Arabidopsis thaliana: one gene and its partners. The protein of the gene in region 3 interacts with the protein of the main gene of each other region in a pairwise test. Each region holds a gene or a part of one and is shown on either strand. Other genes may lie near its edges.

Evidence for each region.
Region 1: the proteins of ESE3 (region 3) and AT5G58620 interact in a two-hybrid assay, tested with the Arabidopsis thaliana proteins (one large-scale study listed by BioGRID).
Region 2: the proteins of ESE3 (region 3) and AT1G20910 interact in a two-hybrid assay, tested with the Arabidopsis thaliana proteins (one large-scale study listed by BioGRID).

What each region holds. Positions count from the first base shown.
Region 1 is NC_003076.8:23,691,385-23,696,800, reverse strand, and holds AT5G58620 (zinc finger (CCCH-type) family protein), read right to left. Parts: upstream 3,543-5,416; 5' UTR 3,269-3,542; intron 2,885-3,268; 5' UTR 2,843-2,884; coding exon 1,019-2,842; 3' UTR 661-1,018; downstream 1-660. Other genes in the region: TRM31 (uncharacterized protein), read left to right, coding at 1-273, 350-660.
Region 2 is NC_003070.9:7,276,195-7,282,838, forward strand, and holds AT1G20910 (ARID/BRIGHT DNA-binding domain-containing protein), read right to left. Parts: upstream 5,043-6,644; 5' UTR 4,785-5,042; intron 4,457-4,784; 5' UTR 4,442-4,456; coding exon 4,154-4,441; intron 4,021-4,153; coding exon 3,887-4,020; intron 3,802-3,886; coding exon 3,762-3,801; intron 3,393-3,761; coding exon 3,340-3,392; intron 3,244-3,339; coding exon 3,198-3,243; intron 2,940-3,197; coding exon 2,847-2,939; intron 2,405-2,846; coding exon 2,282-2,404; intron 2,127-2,281; coding exon 2,078-2,126; intron 2,001-2,077; coding exon 1,937-2,000; intron 1,767-1,936; coding exon 1,700-1,766; intron 1,589-1,699; coding exon 1,538-1,588; intron 1,296-1,537; coding exon 1,203-1,295; coding exon of another isoform or gene 1,125-1,202; exon of another isoform or gene 1,111-1,124; coding exon 1,015-1,110; 3' UTR 749-1,014; downstream 1-748.
Region 3 is NC_003076.8:8,706,029-8,709,593, reverse strand, and holds ESE3 (Integrase-type DNA-binding superfamily protein), read left to right. Parts: upstream 1-1,708; 5' UTR 1,709-1,938; coding exon 1,939-2,021; intron 2,022-2,124; coding exon 2,125-2,587; 3' UTR 2,588-2,849; downstream 2,850-3,565.

The DNA of each region.
Region 1 (5,416 bases), about 15 Mb from region 3:
GACGTGAGAGGCTTGAGATTGGAGAACTGATGCAGCGTAGAAAGGAGAAACGTAAGAGCAGAAGAAAACGAAAAGAAACTAAGTTGAGACAGAACATCGAGAAGGAGAATTGGGTCCAAAGTAATGGTTGTTGGTCCAAAGAAGAAGATTTAGTAAATTGTGAAGTGAGATCAACAAAAGAAGAAGAAGAGTGTGGAAGCTGCGATGATTCGAGCCCTGTCTCGGTTCTTGATTATGACCGGTATGCTGGTGTTCGAGTAACTCCATCACCAGGTTGGTAATTCTTCAGTATTGAAAATTGAAATGTCCTTTCTTGTGTTATTAAAGCATACTTGTTTCCTTGTAACAGGAAACATTTCAAGAAGACGGTTGTCTTCAGAACTTGAATCTAGTAAGCTCAATGAAACGATTGAACAAGATCACATCACATTGACAAGTAGATCAAAAGACCAAGAAATCCGACTTCATGGCTACCAAGAGATGTGGCTCATGATCTGCAAACTCACTGTATCTGACCTTGAAGGTTCAGATTGGTTTAACGGAAAAGCTTTAAAGCTCGAAGATATAGAAGGAATCATAAGCGAAGATATAGTCTCAAACATCTTAGATCAACTCTTAGAAGAAACAATTACAACACTTTCCCTAACTTCACAAGTGTAAATACATTTCTGTATTCCAATTATATTATTACTAAAAAACATATATATTCAGCGTGAGAGTGTTACCAAGAAAAAAAAAAATCGATTACTCATTGTGAATAGTAAAGAATCAAGGAAGTGAGGTGAGGTAATTCAAGGTTTCTTAGGTTTTGAAACCTTTTTTCACCTCTGTTTTTCTTTGGAGACAGAGAGAGAGACAAACGAACTCTCTTTTGTCCCCTAAGAATTTTTTCTTTTTATTCTAAAGAAAAATAACAAAGCATTAAACAAATAAAATGAAATAGATTAGCATCGACCTCTCGGAATCTTTCTGACTTTGCTTCTTGTGGAACGGTTAATGAAAGTTCAAAACTTTTGATTCAAGCCACGGTCTGTTCTGTCTCCATGTATGATTGCTCCATCCAAACCGGAGCTAGTCTTGTCTCCTGTGGCTCTTTCACCAGCGGCTCCACCCATGAGACATCTGGCTCTTCGAGCCCAGTCCCTTCGTTAGGCAGTCTTGATTCCATGCCACCGGCTCTGAGACGGAAAGAAGTGGATTTTCTGAGCTTCTGTAGCTCGTCTCCTTGGACGCTCCAGTCAAGCTTCCCATCCAATGAGCCCCAATCGTTTAAACAAGTTGTAGTCATGGAAGAGATTGCGGGATGGTGATTCAGTCCGTTGTTGCGTTCTATGAAGCTTTGGCTTCGCTGTTTAGCAAATTCAGCCGCTCTTGAAGCCAAGACTGCGGAGGAATCCATCGAAAACAGAGAATTGGCTCCCACAGGTGATGAAGAAAGACTGTTGGAATGCAGCTGCGGGTTAATGACGCTGCGTCGGATCTGCAAACCCGATGTATTATCCTCTGTCCCAAACATATCACTGAGACTATTCACCGGGCTCATTGCTCCTCCTGCAAGCCTGTTCATGCCCTTTCCGGAGAATGGAGATGACATTGGCGTGTTGTTCCATGTAGTTGGAGAAGTAAGACTTTGCATCTCTTCAGAGAAATCGATTTCTCTTGCATTCAATGCAGATTTCAATCTGCTCCCTGGAAGCTGCAATGCAGGAGGGGTTATGTTAGGCCAGTTCATCCACGTTTTTCCTCCACCTATTGGAGAGGATACACCGTTAGGACTCAAAGGAGGTGTGGTTGTTGCTCCGATAGGAAGCGGACTAATCGGTCCCATGTCGAAAGCGGTCGAGGAATTGCAAGATGAGAAGGAAGACCGCGGGGACGGAACACCTGATCCAGTTGAAGGGTACAAAGGACGCAGCTCCTCGGGTTTGTGGGCAAAGAAACAAACTCTTCTCGAGCAATTCGTCTCGTCCTTGCAGAGACGAGTCCGGTACTGAGCCGGGTGAAGCCAGCACTCAAAGATACCATGAGCATACTCGCAAGTATCACCTCTGGAACAAGACCCCTTCCGGAATTCAGGACAAGGGACACAACTATAATGGTACTTCCTCGGATCACGCCTCCTTGCGTTCTCACCCGGATGAACAAAGGGACATTCCGTCCAGTCGTGAGAGTATGCTCTAGAGCACGGCTTGATCTTGAAAGCATACATCCGGAACTCATCCGTCCCATATACACCGTTCTTGATATCAGGAAGCGTTGGATCAACCGGATACTCCTTCCTCTCAGACCCCCGAGGAGGCGAAACCTCAACCTCAACCTCAACCTCTGGCTCGCTTTCTTCTTGCCCATTAACTTCATTCAAATCATCATTTCCTTTCAACAAACGCTCCAAAACCTTCATCCTCGCGCTAAAAACCGGACTCAAACAAGGGAAAATCACATCTCCAGGCTTGTTACCATAAGCATCACAAGAATCCGGATTCGCAGAGCCCTTCAGCAGAAGAGTAACAATCTCAAGGCTATTGGCAGACAAGCCAGAGACCGCACAGTGAAGAGCCGTGGCACCATCAGAGCCACAAGAGCGGTTCACGTCAACAAGACCAGTACTAATGATGTAATCAACAACCTCTTTGCTTCCAAACAAGGCAGCAATCATAAGAGGCGTCCTCTCCTCAAAACCCATCTTCTTTGATCCTAATCTCCTCCCATACCACAAACCAGAGCCATCAATGCTCTCAAGACCTTCTTCTTCAACTAGAGACTTAAAACCGGACAAATCATTGCAGGCTGATGATTCTAGCAGAAGAGAGAATTTGAGGTGAGACAGCTCATCAACTCCCATGGCAAAAAAAAGCAACAATCTTTTCCCGCTCTATTGATTTCACTGCAAAAAAAATTGCAGAACAAATTGAAAAGGATGAATCTTTTTTCTTCTGATTAAAATGGTAATATACATAGAACAAAATCATACAAAACAGAAATAAAAACTGCAGAAACGATTAAGCTAAGGAGAGAAGGAAGAGTTTGTTAGTTTGGGATACAAAGTTTCCAACTTTAAAACAAACCAAACCAAAAATAAACACCAACAGATCCATAATTAACCACTTTTGCAACATCGAAAACTAATCATATTGTTAACTCATTTTCCAATCAGCAAAACAATTAAAAACAAACTGCAAACTCTAAAACAAATCGACATATATGGATTCAACTGAAACTAAATTAGTGACTAATCAAATCAAAGAAACAAAGAGTAAAGATTTTCTACCTCTGAGTCACAGAGACAAACTCTCTCTTTTCTCGACCACCACTACCAAAAAACCGCTCTTCACTTCCTTTAAACGAGTACTCAATTAGTCAATTTATTGAAAAAACAAATCCGAATTTTTTTTCTTCTTCCTCAAATTATGTTTTTTTTCTTCTTCTTCCTCTCCTTGTCACTTTCTTCTTAAGGTCAAAATAATAGAAGTTTTTAAAAAAATGAAGAAGCTTACTCTAAATAATAAAACAAAACCACCATCTCCATCATTCTTCTTCTACTTCTCTCTCGTCTTTTTTATTTCTATTTATTTATTTTACTTTCAATTTTAATTTGTAAAGTCTGAAGGAAATGAAGGTGTACGTTAGACTTCACACAGAGGATCTTCGCTCATCGGTTTTGTCACGCTTCACGCGTTTTTCCGGTTTTTGGTGGGATGACGTGGAAACCATGCATCGTCAGCATGTTTTTAAAATGAGCTACTTACTTTTCTTCTCCATTCACGAGCTAAAGATAAAACCACTGCCTGTTACCTAGAGTTATATAACCAATTAACCATAGCTTTTTAATTGGTTTGTCACCGCCCCAGAATAATCTCAACATGCACCAAAACACAGAATCGGAACCGTCTCGAGTGGGTTTCGCTTGATAGCAACTCTCTTTTGTCATAGCTTTGATTTGAGTTATATTCATCAAAATTAATTATCATAAAGTTTAAAGATAATTGAGATAATTATTATAAAGTCGAGAAATTGACGTTTATGTTCAGTTTTTTTCGGTCGACAATTCCAACAAAAAGACGATTAGGTAATACAAATATCCTAAGAGACTAAAATAATGTGTATTTAAATTCGGTAATGGAAAGAATTCGAACAAACCTTACCAAACTTTGTATTTTCTGTCGCTATGCTTGTATTATTATATTAAAAGATAGTGATTCGTGATCCATGACAATGTTGTACTACTATATAAAAGTAGTCATAAATTGCAAATGTATAATAATATTTTTTTGAAAACGACTACTGTTTTGTATTGCAACCAGACCAAATCCAAATGCATGCAACCGAACCCATCAATGCTTTTTGCAGCGGCATTAACGAAGCTGCTCCACTGGCTCTCTCTCACATCATAACACAAAGCCATTTATTTTCTCTTCTTCTAATTTACAGTTCTAATAAATAAGTAAAGTCATAATATTAATATGATAGTGCAAATACTGTATATATACACGACAAATTATTAATTTTTAGATAATTATATCCTGTTTCTTAACATAAACACTGTTGATTCCCAATGTCAAATCAATATTTAAAAATTTGTTATAAGTCAGTCACTCAAAAGACAATGGTATGAAAAATGCTGAAAACAGACGGTCAAGATCTTGTATTCACGATGAGATATATTGTTAGGTTAATTTTGATATAAAGCGAAATAAAAAGGGAAAAAAGGTAGAAAAGTCTAAGTGTACAATTAGGAAAAGGACCCACAAGAATCCATAATCTGACTAGAATGAATGGAATAAGAAGCATGTGGGACCAACTGAAAGCGACTAAGCATTGCTATTTGCTATTTTATCAGCCGACGTCGCTGCGACAAAACCCCAAATGGCAGAGCCTTATTGGACAGACCATATTGACTTTTATGGTCCTAAATGCAGTGAATTATCTCTCTTCGACTTGGCGCCAAGCACTTCTGGGCCAGAAATACCGATGCGGGGCTATACGAGGATAATGATCTGTTTCAAAGCCCATAATTAAAGACCTAGGTTTGGCCCATTAGTCTATCTTCTTGATTTAAAAGAAGGAAGCCAATTTCTTCTTCATGGACGTAAATAAAAAGAACTGGTAACTAATGAGATAGTATCTTACTATCTTCACAAGTAAAAGTCATATGGTGAATCCGAAGAAAGAATGTCGTATTCATGAGCTATATCTGAGAAGAGTGAAAAACAGAGTCAAAGTCAAAGAGTGATGAGCAAGCTTTAATAGTACGAAAGTAGAAGAAATAAAGAAATAAGAGGGTGAAATGGGTAAATTTTGGATTTTTAATTAGGAAATAGTGCAAATTGACCAAAATTAAAAATCTCCACTCTTTTCGCGTGTATCAACCAAAAAACAACATCAATGTCCTTTAGTTTTAATTAATCTCGCTGTTTAA
Region 2 (6,644 bases), on a different chromosome or scaffold from region 3:
GGAACAAATTGCAGATTAATTTCACAAGTCACAATCTACAGTTCTTAGCTAAATATTATAGTGATCAGATGTCTCTTAGTAAAAAACGTTTTAGCTTTGCCAAAATATATAAAATATAAATTAGAATCAATACATATACTTGGAATCATATGACTTTTTTTTGGGGGCTTGGAGAAAGAGCATTGTAGTTGTAAATATTATCAAATTCCCATGCGGTCATGTCATGTGCCTTACATGCAATTGAGCTACACCAAGTTGAGAATCAGCAATAAAAAACCTTTTTTGATCACTGTGAAGTGTGAACCTTTTTGCATGATTAAAGAGAAAGAAAACAAGTTGAGAATAATGTTTCTTGTCTTAATACTGCAGTATTTTCTGATGACTCAAAAACTAGAGTGAGCTTCAAAACTTTTGAACCTTAAATTTTCGTCATGAATTGATGATACATATATATATATATATATAAACAAGTAATGAACCTTTTTTTCTTTTCTAAATCATATATTCCCGATCATGAACTTTTTAGATTCAGGGAAATGTCAATAAGTTTTTTGCTGTTTTCGTTTTCCCTTTAATAATATGCACCACCAATATATGCATACTTTCACTTTCACTTTTTGAAAACAAATCATCTCAGGAGAACTTTTGAAAACCGAAACGCATGAGAACCTAAAAGTATACTATTGGAAGTAGAACTAGTAGATGGGATAGGCAAATCTATTCATCTCTATTAAAAAAATATGTATAAGAAAAGCATAACATTCCGATTTTAGATCAAAATCATCATTGTTGGTTGCATCCTAAATGTCTTTGGAGCAGTTTCTCCTACTAATCTCAAATTATACAAAAGAGAAATATTACAGTAAGATCAAATGTTTGTTGCATGTTCCTAACTTCAGTCTTCAGATTCAAATCACAGTTACAAAACTGCTTCAGCCGCCTAACAATTTGGTTCTGAAACATATGAATTCCTAGAAGAAACCACGAACAACTGACCAGCTCTCTTGAAATCCATTACTGCTCAAACGGAACTCGTATGAACAACCGTCCATGCATGCTCATGACCGCGGATGTGTGAAGCGGATCAATTCTTGCTGATAAGTCAACAATCTGGTGAAAACATATCAAAATGACAGGAAGGTTCTCAGTCTCTGTATCAGTTCAGTTAATGGACATATCTGGAATATAGAAGAAAGTTTTACCTTTTTGAAGGGTGTAATCCCCCAAGGATTGTCAAGCTGCTCTGGCTGGCCTGTTATAACCACCTTTCCCGCAGGATCTGATTGAATTCGAACCTGAGAAAAGACAACGTATGTTCAGTAATTGGAACTATGTACTGATTTTACCAGAAAATACTTATTGCCTACAACACTGTGTACTGAGACTATGAAACTAAAGCCAACGGATCTGCTTTGGTAACCTACCAAATCGCTTTGTGCTTGCTTTGTATTGTCACAGTAATATGCATTCAAACAAAATTAAAAGACAAGGACTTATCAAGTAGCCTTCAGAGACAGGGTTACAAAGGAGTGCTCACCTCTTTGCGAAGAAGTCCAGGTACCAAGGCAAATATCTCGAAGGAATCCTTCTGTGAATTCAAGAAAAAGGAAAACAGATTTGGTAAGAATTCCATATTGGAAACAAACATCCAGTTTGCAAGTTTTTGGCGTTTCTTTAGCCGTTGGCAGAAGTTACTCACAGATTCTTTGACATTTATCTTCACCCAGTCAGCAACGGGTCCAACATCAACAACCTCAGCAGCCAACCTATCATGACAAAAAGGAAACCTTAACGTTAATCTATAGTAATATGTTCAGGTCCAGAAAATGCTACGTTTTCATCTCATTACTGCTAAGAGGCATTGAAAGAAGAACCAAAAAACTAATATAACTATCTTAGAATTGCAAATAAGAAGGAGAGATCAGCTTTCCGTAACTGTTTGTCAGCTTCATTTGTAACAACATGGTCCATGCTAGTTTGTTGTTTGTGTTTTTGCAGCCCTGAAAAAACCGTTTAAAACATAACGTTAAGCAACCCTCGTTGACAAAATAGCAAAGCCTTGAGAACTATTTTGTACCAATGCTTTTGAGTTTCTTGTGCTTTGGGGTGGAAATTAAGCCCTTATCCTGAAACAAAAGGAGAACATCATTTTACTTCCGAAATAAAAAACGACAAAAGAAATAAAAAGTCTTCTTCTTTCTACATGTGAGTCAGATTCCTTGGTGCATGAAAAAATTCTGCATAATGGAATCACAAAGTGCAGTAAGATTTGAAGTGAAACCTTAACAGCAGGCGCAGTAACCTCTCCAGATCCAACAAGGCGCTGCGCATGCCAACCTTGCATAGCACGAGCTGCAGAATCTCTTCGTGCCCTGCCTGACCCTGAACCTTGATGGCTACTTGGCTACAGCAAAGTCCTTGTATCAGGGAAGAAAAAAATATGGAGAAGGGAAAAAAAGGGAGGCACATGAATTTTCGTTTAGGTTTTCTGCAACTTATATGGTAATTTACTGGGTTATGCACACGGATTTCTTATGGCTTTTGTATCGAACACAAAATGGCTACAGCTTTCTTCAGTCAGATTGCAGATAGTTGGGTTTAAAAGGTTTAGCTGGTATTACATAAATGCTGAAAAATAACTCTTATGCTATCATTTCTTCAGTATCAACGACATTTAATCACAGTACATGAAACCTTCCCACAATAAATTGACAAGTAGATACTCTTCATTAATTTTACGGTGCTAGATCGATCTTCATCCAAACTTTCCATATCTACCATTATTTCTATATATTATTCAGTAGTGTCTAAAATCCAAAAGCCATTTTTTTAGGGGAAATTCATACCTCTTTCTCGACACTGGAAGACAGAATCAATGTTGAACCAGGAAGGTTAAGCTCACCATTATTCCTTAAACACTTTTCGTACTCCAAAAGTGCCTGCAATTGAAGCAAAGATATAGATCATATGTACCTGTATCTATATGATAAGATAGAAAGAAAACAAGCAGTGCATTCAAACTTCGAAGTGACAAAAGAATAGTCCAAAATAAAGAGCTACCTCAGCAAGACAAAGAATTAAACTAACTATTATAACACACCATACTAAGAAGAAGCACAAGGAGAATTGTCTGAAGTGGATAAGTAAAAATGAAGACAGGATAAATATACGATACTTATGCACAAAAACAAACTCACCTTCTCATAGAAATTGCGGAATGTGTAGGAGACTGTTGTGCATGTCCTGAATAAAGATAGTTTAACCAAATGTGGAAAAAGATTAGCATTATGAAAAATTGGTAAAGACTAACGGAGAGTCTAAGGAAAATATCAGCCATACTTGGGAGGATTGAAGGATTCTCCAACTTGCCGCCACAGCTTATTTGTGGTGACCTACATTACCATGAAAAAACAAAGGAATCTTAAAGACCATAAGTCCAGCAGAAGATTAAGAAAACATTGAATATATAATTCCAAATATAGCTAACAACAGTAAAATAAATCAGTTTCCCAAGAAAATATCGAACATTCTTTAATGTTTGATATGTTCGCTTAAAGTCATAAATCTTCTCTGAAAGCCACATCGTTATAGATACTCTTATCATAAATTAGCTTACGGATTCAATAGTTATACCCTATATACAGTTCATATGCCATCCACAATTCAAACAATAAAATGTAGGTGATAATCATACGGGCCAACTTAAATAACCAAGACTTATAAACTGACGAACTAAAAACGATATGGTTTTGGATAATTACCACTTCATAGCCACCTAGGTTCACGACTGCTCGCCAAAGCCTACATTGGATGCAAAAGTGAGGCACTGATTAACCAGATATATGGGTTTATTAAGAACAAAAGCACCACTTTTCCAACAACTCACTTGAGAATGTTTAAAGGCTGTCCATAAAACTTAGGAGGTTTAAATTCCAGGAAACTCTCTTTGTAAAAGGCCTCCACTTCTCTTAGAAACGCCACTTGTTCTACCGGTGTCCCTGCTTCATCAGTTCCCTGTGCCTGTAGAGAAAGGTGAACCAGTAAGTGAACAATCACCACATAATTTTCGACCACAAAACAGTGAAATCCAATCCTGAGAAAACAAAAAGACACAGGCTTTTTGAGCCAAATTGAAAGAAACATAGCCTAGTACCTCAGAATCCAGCAGCCAAGTCTTCCTCTTTTTGGCATTCTCACCTTCAGTCTTAGGACTCAACATTTGCACCCTACGAGTCTTCCTTTCAGAGTGGTCAACAACTCCAACAGCACCACCATTCATGCCATGACCATTATTAGCCTGACCATCTCCAAGAAGAAGGGGCTGCGGGATTTCACTAGGGTTGTGATCATTTTCTGGCTCCAAAGGTTCTTCCTCTAAATACTTTGTCTCAACAAGGGCACCAAAAGTCACATCTTGCTCTTGCATTTCGGTATCCACCATCTTAAGCTTCGATTTCTGTTGTGGAGTAGTCAGTCACAGCAAGACAAGGACAAAAGAACAAATCCAGAAGAAAAAAACGAAGAAGATAAAAAAACTGTATATAACTAACTATTGGTGATTCCAGATTAAACAAAAAGGAATTGTCTTTCTTCTCCGCCTGGAAACTATAGCTTCTCTCTCTCTCTCTCTTCTATCTCTAAACGCAATTAAGAATTGGAGCAAACTCACTCACTCTATTACTACAAAACCTCATCCTAATCAAAACTACCACAGATAAACAAGCCGAGAAGACCTTTCAGCTTCCATAGAATACAGAGAGCAGCAAAAAAAAACATATGCTTACCAGTTCTGCAGCGACGGCGACGGCGAGTAAAGGTTGGTATGAGAACGCAGGGACTCCGACGGCGCGCTAGGGTTTAGCAGCCGGAGAAATTGAAAGAAGCTGGAGGAAGAAGAAGAAGAAGGAGATACAGAGAGAGAGCTGAAAAAGGAGAGACAATTCGAAAGAGGAGAGACAATCTTATGTTAATGGAGGAAGGTATTAGTAAAAAAGATGGGATGGGGGATGTTATGTGGTTTTTAACTTTAATTTGTTTTACACTCAAAAAGTAAACAATTTCTTTTCTTCTTTTTGTATCTATTAGTCTTTTTAGACTTTCTTAATTTTTGGTAAATATAGGATTTGTAACCTTTTATTGTTGTTGAATGTTGGGATTTCTACTATATGTAATAACCACGAAAGATAAACATTGAAAAAGTTTTTTTTTTTTTTTTGCCAAAGGGTGTTATTATATATATGAAACATTGTACAAAACATATATACATAGAAGAAAGGAGCTATATGAAATTTAGGTTTACGAAATTACGACAACGATTACGGAGGAAACAAAGAAGATCGAAATTAGTATAAATACGATACAAAAAATATTAAAAAACTTAGGTTTATAGAAAAGTTTATGAATTAATTTTATATTTTTAACAAGAAGTTCAAGATGATAATTAAAATATATGATGTTGAGACTTGGAAATAAAATTTAGGTTTCATGATTTGGAGTTAAGATGTGAAAACTATATCATAATGGAAATATCTATATATACATGTTTGGAGGGGATTTTTGAAGATAATGTTGAAGATTTGAGCCATAATTCAACAATTAATTCAAATGGGTGGGTTTTACTCGGCTTAACTCTGTTCAGATCCTGGATAACATGTTTAATTCAGTTCTGATCTTGGATAACATTAGTTTTTGGAAAAGTTACCTAAAAACTAATAATTAAAAACGAAAATTAATGATTTAATTACCAAATTTAATATAAACAATATCTCTAAACTAACCATATTTCTTATTTACCTTAACTAATTTCCTAAAATATTTCTACCTAATTTAAACATAAATATATAATTCTTCTTTCAATTTTATTTGATCTTATACTTTATTTATTTTGAATTTATATAAAATATATATAGTTAATAAAATATTATATTTTTTTCTGAATATGATGTAATTCAAATTTTTTAAAACGGACATATATTATTCAACCTATGAAGAAATAATATGTGTACAATGTCCAACATCGCTTAGAAAAATTGGACAATGGTTCAGACCCATATTATAAAAGGACCAAAATGATTCTGATTATGAATGAGCATGAAGCTTGATTTATCAGGCGTCCAAAATTAAAATAGTTATCCGATTTTACTCGGATTTTTTATTTTAAAGAATTAAAACTTTAAAATGTTTCAAAAAATTATAAATATTATAACTTTATCAAATGTTAAATATTATAATTTTAAAAACTTTTTATAAAGTTTATCTTTAAAAAATGCTTTAAATATTTATAATTTTAAAACTTATAAAGTTTTAAAAATTATAAATTGAATTTTACAAGAAATTTAAACATTACAAATATAGAAAAAATATATTAATACGAGATGATATATTACAGGAAAAATCTTAAAAATTGGGTCGATATTGTATTTTTTTAAGTTTCAAATTTTATAATATTGAAATTTATAAGAAAATGACAAAATTATGTTTAATTTCACGGGACTGGATTATATGGTAGGACGGGTTTGGGTGGATAATAATTACGATTTTAGAATGTTCTATATCGCTTAAAAAAATTGGACAATGGTCAAGAGCCATACTATAAAAAGGACCAAAATGATTTCGATTACGAATGAGCATGAAACTTGATTTAT
Region 3 (3,565 bases):
GCTGATATTAGCATTCAGTACCATCCTTCTTTTACTACACCACCGAGAGAGATAAGTTACTTTCTTTTTTTTCGTTTTCTTATGGACATGGATGCAAATATACAGACAAAAAAAAGCATATGTTGAATAATTATTAGGGTTAAGAATGATTATTAGTAGGGTGAAAATGATCAATTATTTGATAAAAAGTTAATGACCTTCTCTAGTTGTTTTTCTTGTCGTCATAATTGCGGTCTAGGATTCTTTCATCAATTTGATACTGGATTGAACTAATAATATTTGGCACTTGTTATTTTGATGTATCCATTCTACCTACACACTCTTTTGCCCAACATATTCTTCTATTACCTCTTATTCCAATTATAATTGACTCTAAAAGGATATAGTCTCAATTGGAGATTATTTTTTTTTTAAATATGCGTGCGACTGAATATGATCGACATAACCTTTACTTTTATTTGATGAAACTTTGTCGAACAAAAGATAAATTGGCAAACAAAAACATCCATATATAAACCCAAATAAGAAGTGGTTACTATGTGACATTCCCTATACAATTAACATATACTACTATCTAAAAATTGTAGATAAGTTTATGCAATATTATACTAATTCCCTCTCCAAGTTTCAGTAATGGGCATAATCACATATTTATTAATTATTAAACCTATGTTTTTAATTGAAAAATAATGTATTAGAGTTTTTTTTTTAATAGGTCGCAGACTCGTAGGTAAACTGTACACTCAGAAATCATGGGTATGATGACAATACATTAAGGTTTGTTTCAATAATAACAATACAAAATAATATTAAAGAAGGGAAAAGAGAAGATGATAATCGAAGATGGTTTTGGGTGTTTGATTGAGTCATTATCAAAGGCTCACATGGGTGAAGAATGGTGATGAAAGAGTCTCGCTAGTTATCAAACTATATATTTTCCAATTATTTATCGTTATTATTAATTAGTTGGGGAAAAATTTGGCAGTATCTATGATATAGAGACATGTTGTGATGATCAAACCCATGTGAAAATAGGTACAGTGGGTTTGAAGTTTCACCGCAGCCAAATCTCTTTGGATCCAACTTGTTCACAATGGGAAAATTAAAATAATTGATAAATATATATGCTATATACGTAGGGTTGTTATTATATTTAGAGCTATTTATTAGTTTTATCTTAAAAATACCCCATAACTTAGGATATTATAACTATAATTGTCTAAGTATAATATGTGTAACTTGGGACAAAAGGAAAAGAAAAAGGTTTGGATTAAATTATCTTAGGTTTGATTTCTAAACCGTTTTAATTAATTTATATTTGTTGATAAAAAATTAGCTTTTGTTACAGAAATAAATTCATATGAAACTATTGAACATTTGTAATTTTGTATTCTAACAAAAACTGTGATAAGTTTGTTAATTCATAATTTAAATTCTATTTTAACTTTTAGATAAATTACGATAATACTTTCCAAAAAATATCTCTAAATAAAAAAAACACTTTTCCGACAGTTTAGCATGTAGTTTCGAAGCTTTCAATTTTCACTATAATATGTGACAGAATTAGATAATCCATTTGCCCATGTCGCAGCAACTTCGAATACAACAAATGAAGTAAATTTAAGAATACTTTAAGTTAAATAAATTAATATAACTCTCTCTCTCACATCAAACAAAATCCATGAGATTTTCTGAGTCGTATTGGTAATGGTGTGGGTCCAATTTAGGACCAAATTGATTGCCAGTTTATTGCCAAAGAAAATTTTAACACAAAAACATTTCTCTCTCTCATGAAGCTAAAGCCAACACTACTTATATAGCTACCCTTCACTCTTCCAAAAACGCTCCTTCACTCTCATCATTCTTTCTTCTTTCAAAACATTTCCACAAACACACCAAACTCACCTGAAACCCTATTTCCATTTACCATTCACACTAATGGCACGACCACAACAACGCTTTCGAGGCGTTAGACAGAGGCATTGGGGCTCTTGGGTCTCCGAAATTCGTCACCCTCTCTTGTAAAAACTCTCCCTCATCATCCTCTCAAATTACGAAATTACCCTCGGTCGCTTTTTATTTGAGTAATGCTAAACTTTTTTGTTTTTTTTTTGTTTTTTTTAGGAAAACAAGAATCTGGCTAGGGACGTTTGAGACAGCGGAGGATGCAGCAAGGGCCTACGACGAGGCGGCTAGGCTAATGTGTGGCCCGAGAGCTCGTACTAATTTCCCATACAACCCTAATGCCATTCCTACTTCCTCTTCCAAGCTTCTATCAGCAACTCTTACCGCTAAACTCCACAAATGCTACATGGCTTCTCTTCAAATGACCAAGCAAACGCAAACACAAACGCAAACGCAGACCGCAAGATCACAATCCGCGGACAGTGACGGTGTGACGGCTAACGAAAGTCATTTGAACAGAGGAGTAACGGAGACGACAGAGATCAAGTGGGAAGATGGAAATGCGAATATGCAACAGAATTTTAGGCCATTGGAGGAAGATCATATCGAGCAAATGATTGAGGAGCTGCTTCACTACGGTTCCATTGAGCTTTGCTCTGTTTTACCAACTCAGACGCTGTGAGAAATGGCCTTGTCGTTTTAGCGTATTCTTTTCATTTTTATTTTTGTTTCCACAAAAACGGCGTCGTAAGTGATGAGAGTAGTAGTGAGAGAAGGCTAATTTCAAGACATTTTGATCTGAATTGGCCTCTTTTGAAACACTGATTCTAGTTTCTATAAGAGCAATCGATCATATGCTATGTTATGTATAGTATTATAAAAAAATGTTATTTTCTGATTTTTCTCCATGTAAACCAATTGAACACTTGAAACCAAAAACTAAAAATTACACATGTGTTCGTGTGTGAAAAAGTGGGAATTTAATGTAGTGAAAAGATACAACAATGAGAAGAAAGATATCTAAAGTAGTGAAGAGAGATGAGAGTTTGAATATTTTGAGTTAGCTTTTGGTTTTGTTCCATGCATGTTCTAATTTTTCAACGGTGGGCCTTCATTTTTTTATTTTTATTTTTGGTAATTTGGGATTGCTGCTAAGTAGAAAAAGAGTGTCCCTAGCTGTGGCTTGACGACCATAAAATCCAACTTTTTAATTAGAGGGATTTGTGTTTTCTAGCACCTTATATTAAAATAGAAAAAATAATTTAGCTACATAAAATAGGTGTTTGACTGCAATTACTCTGTTTCCTTAGAACACTCTGTTCTTCGAACAGTCCAAACCTATTATTTATTTGTTTTGTTTGTAATGCGAATAAAAGGAAACTAGTGTTTTCCGACCACTACTTTAACTTTTGTAACAAAATATGATTTACATTTACTACCTTAAGGTTGAATACGAAAATAAAAATATTCTCTAGCAAAGAATGGAAAACATAACATGAGCAGGCTTTAATATATCCTTGACGATCGGTTGATTCTTCTTGCATACATATACGCGATAATATAATATCAGTTGTTAGCAACAAGCCAAAATAGCTAAATAATGGCAATTCAATATGGTTAAAGCTCGTTGCGATATAACCAGTACACATGCAATGCATCT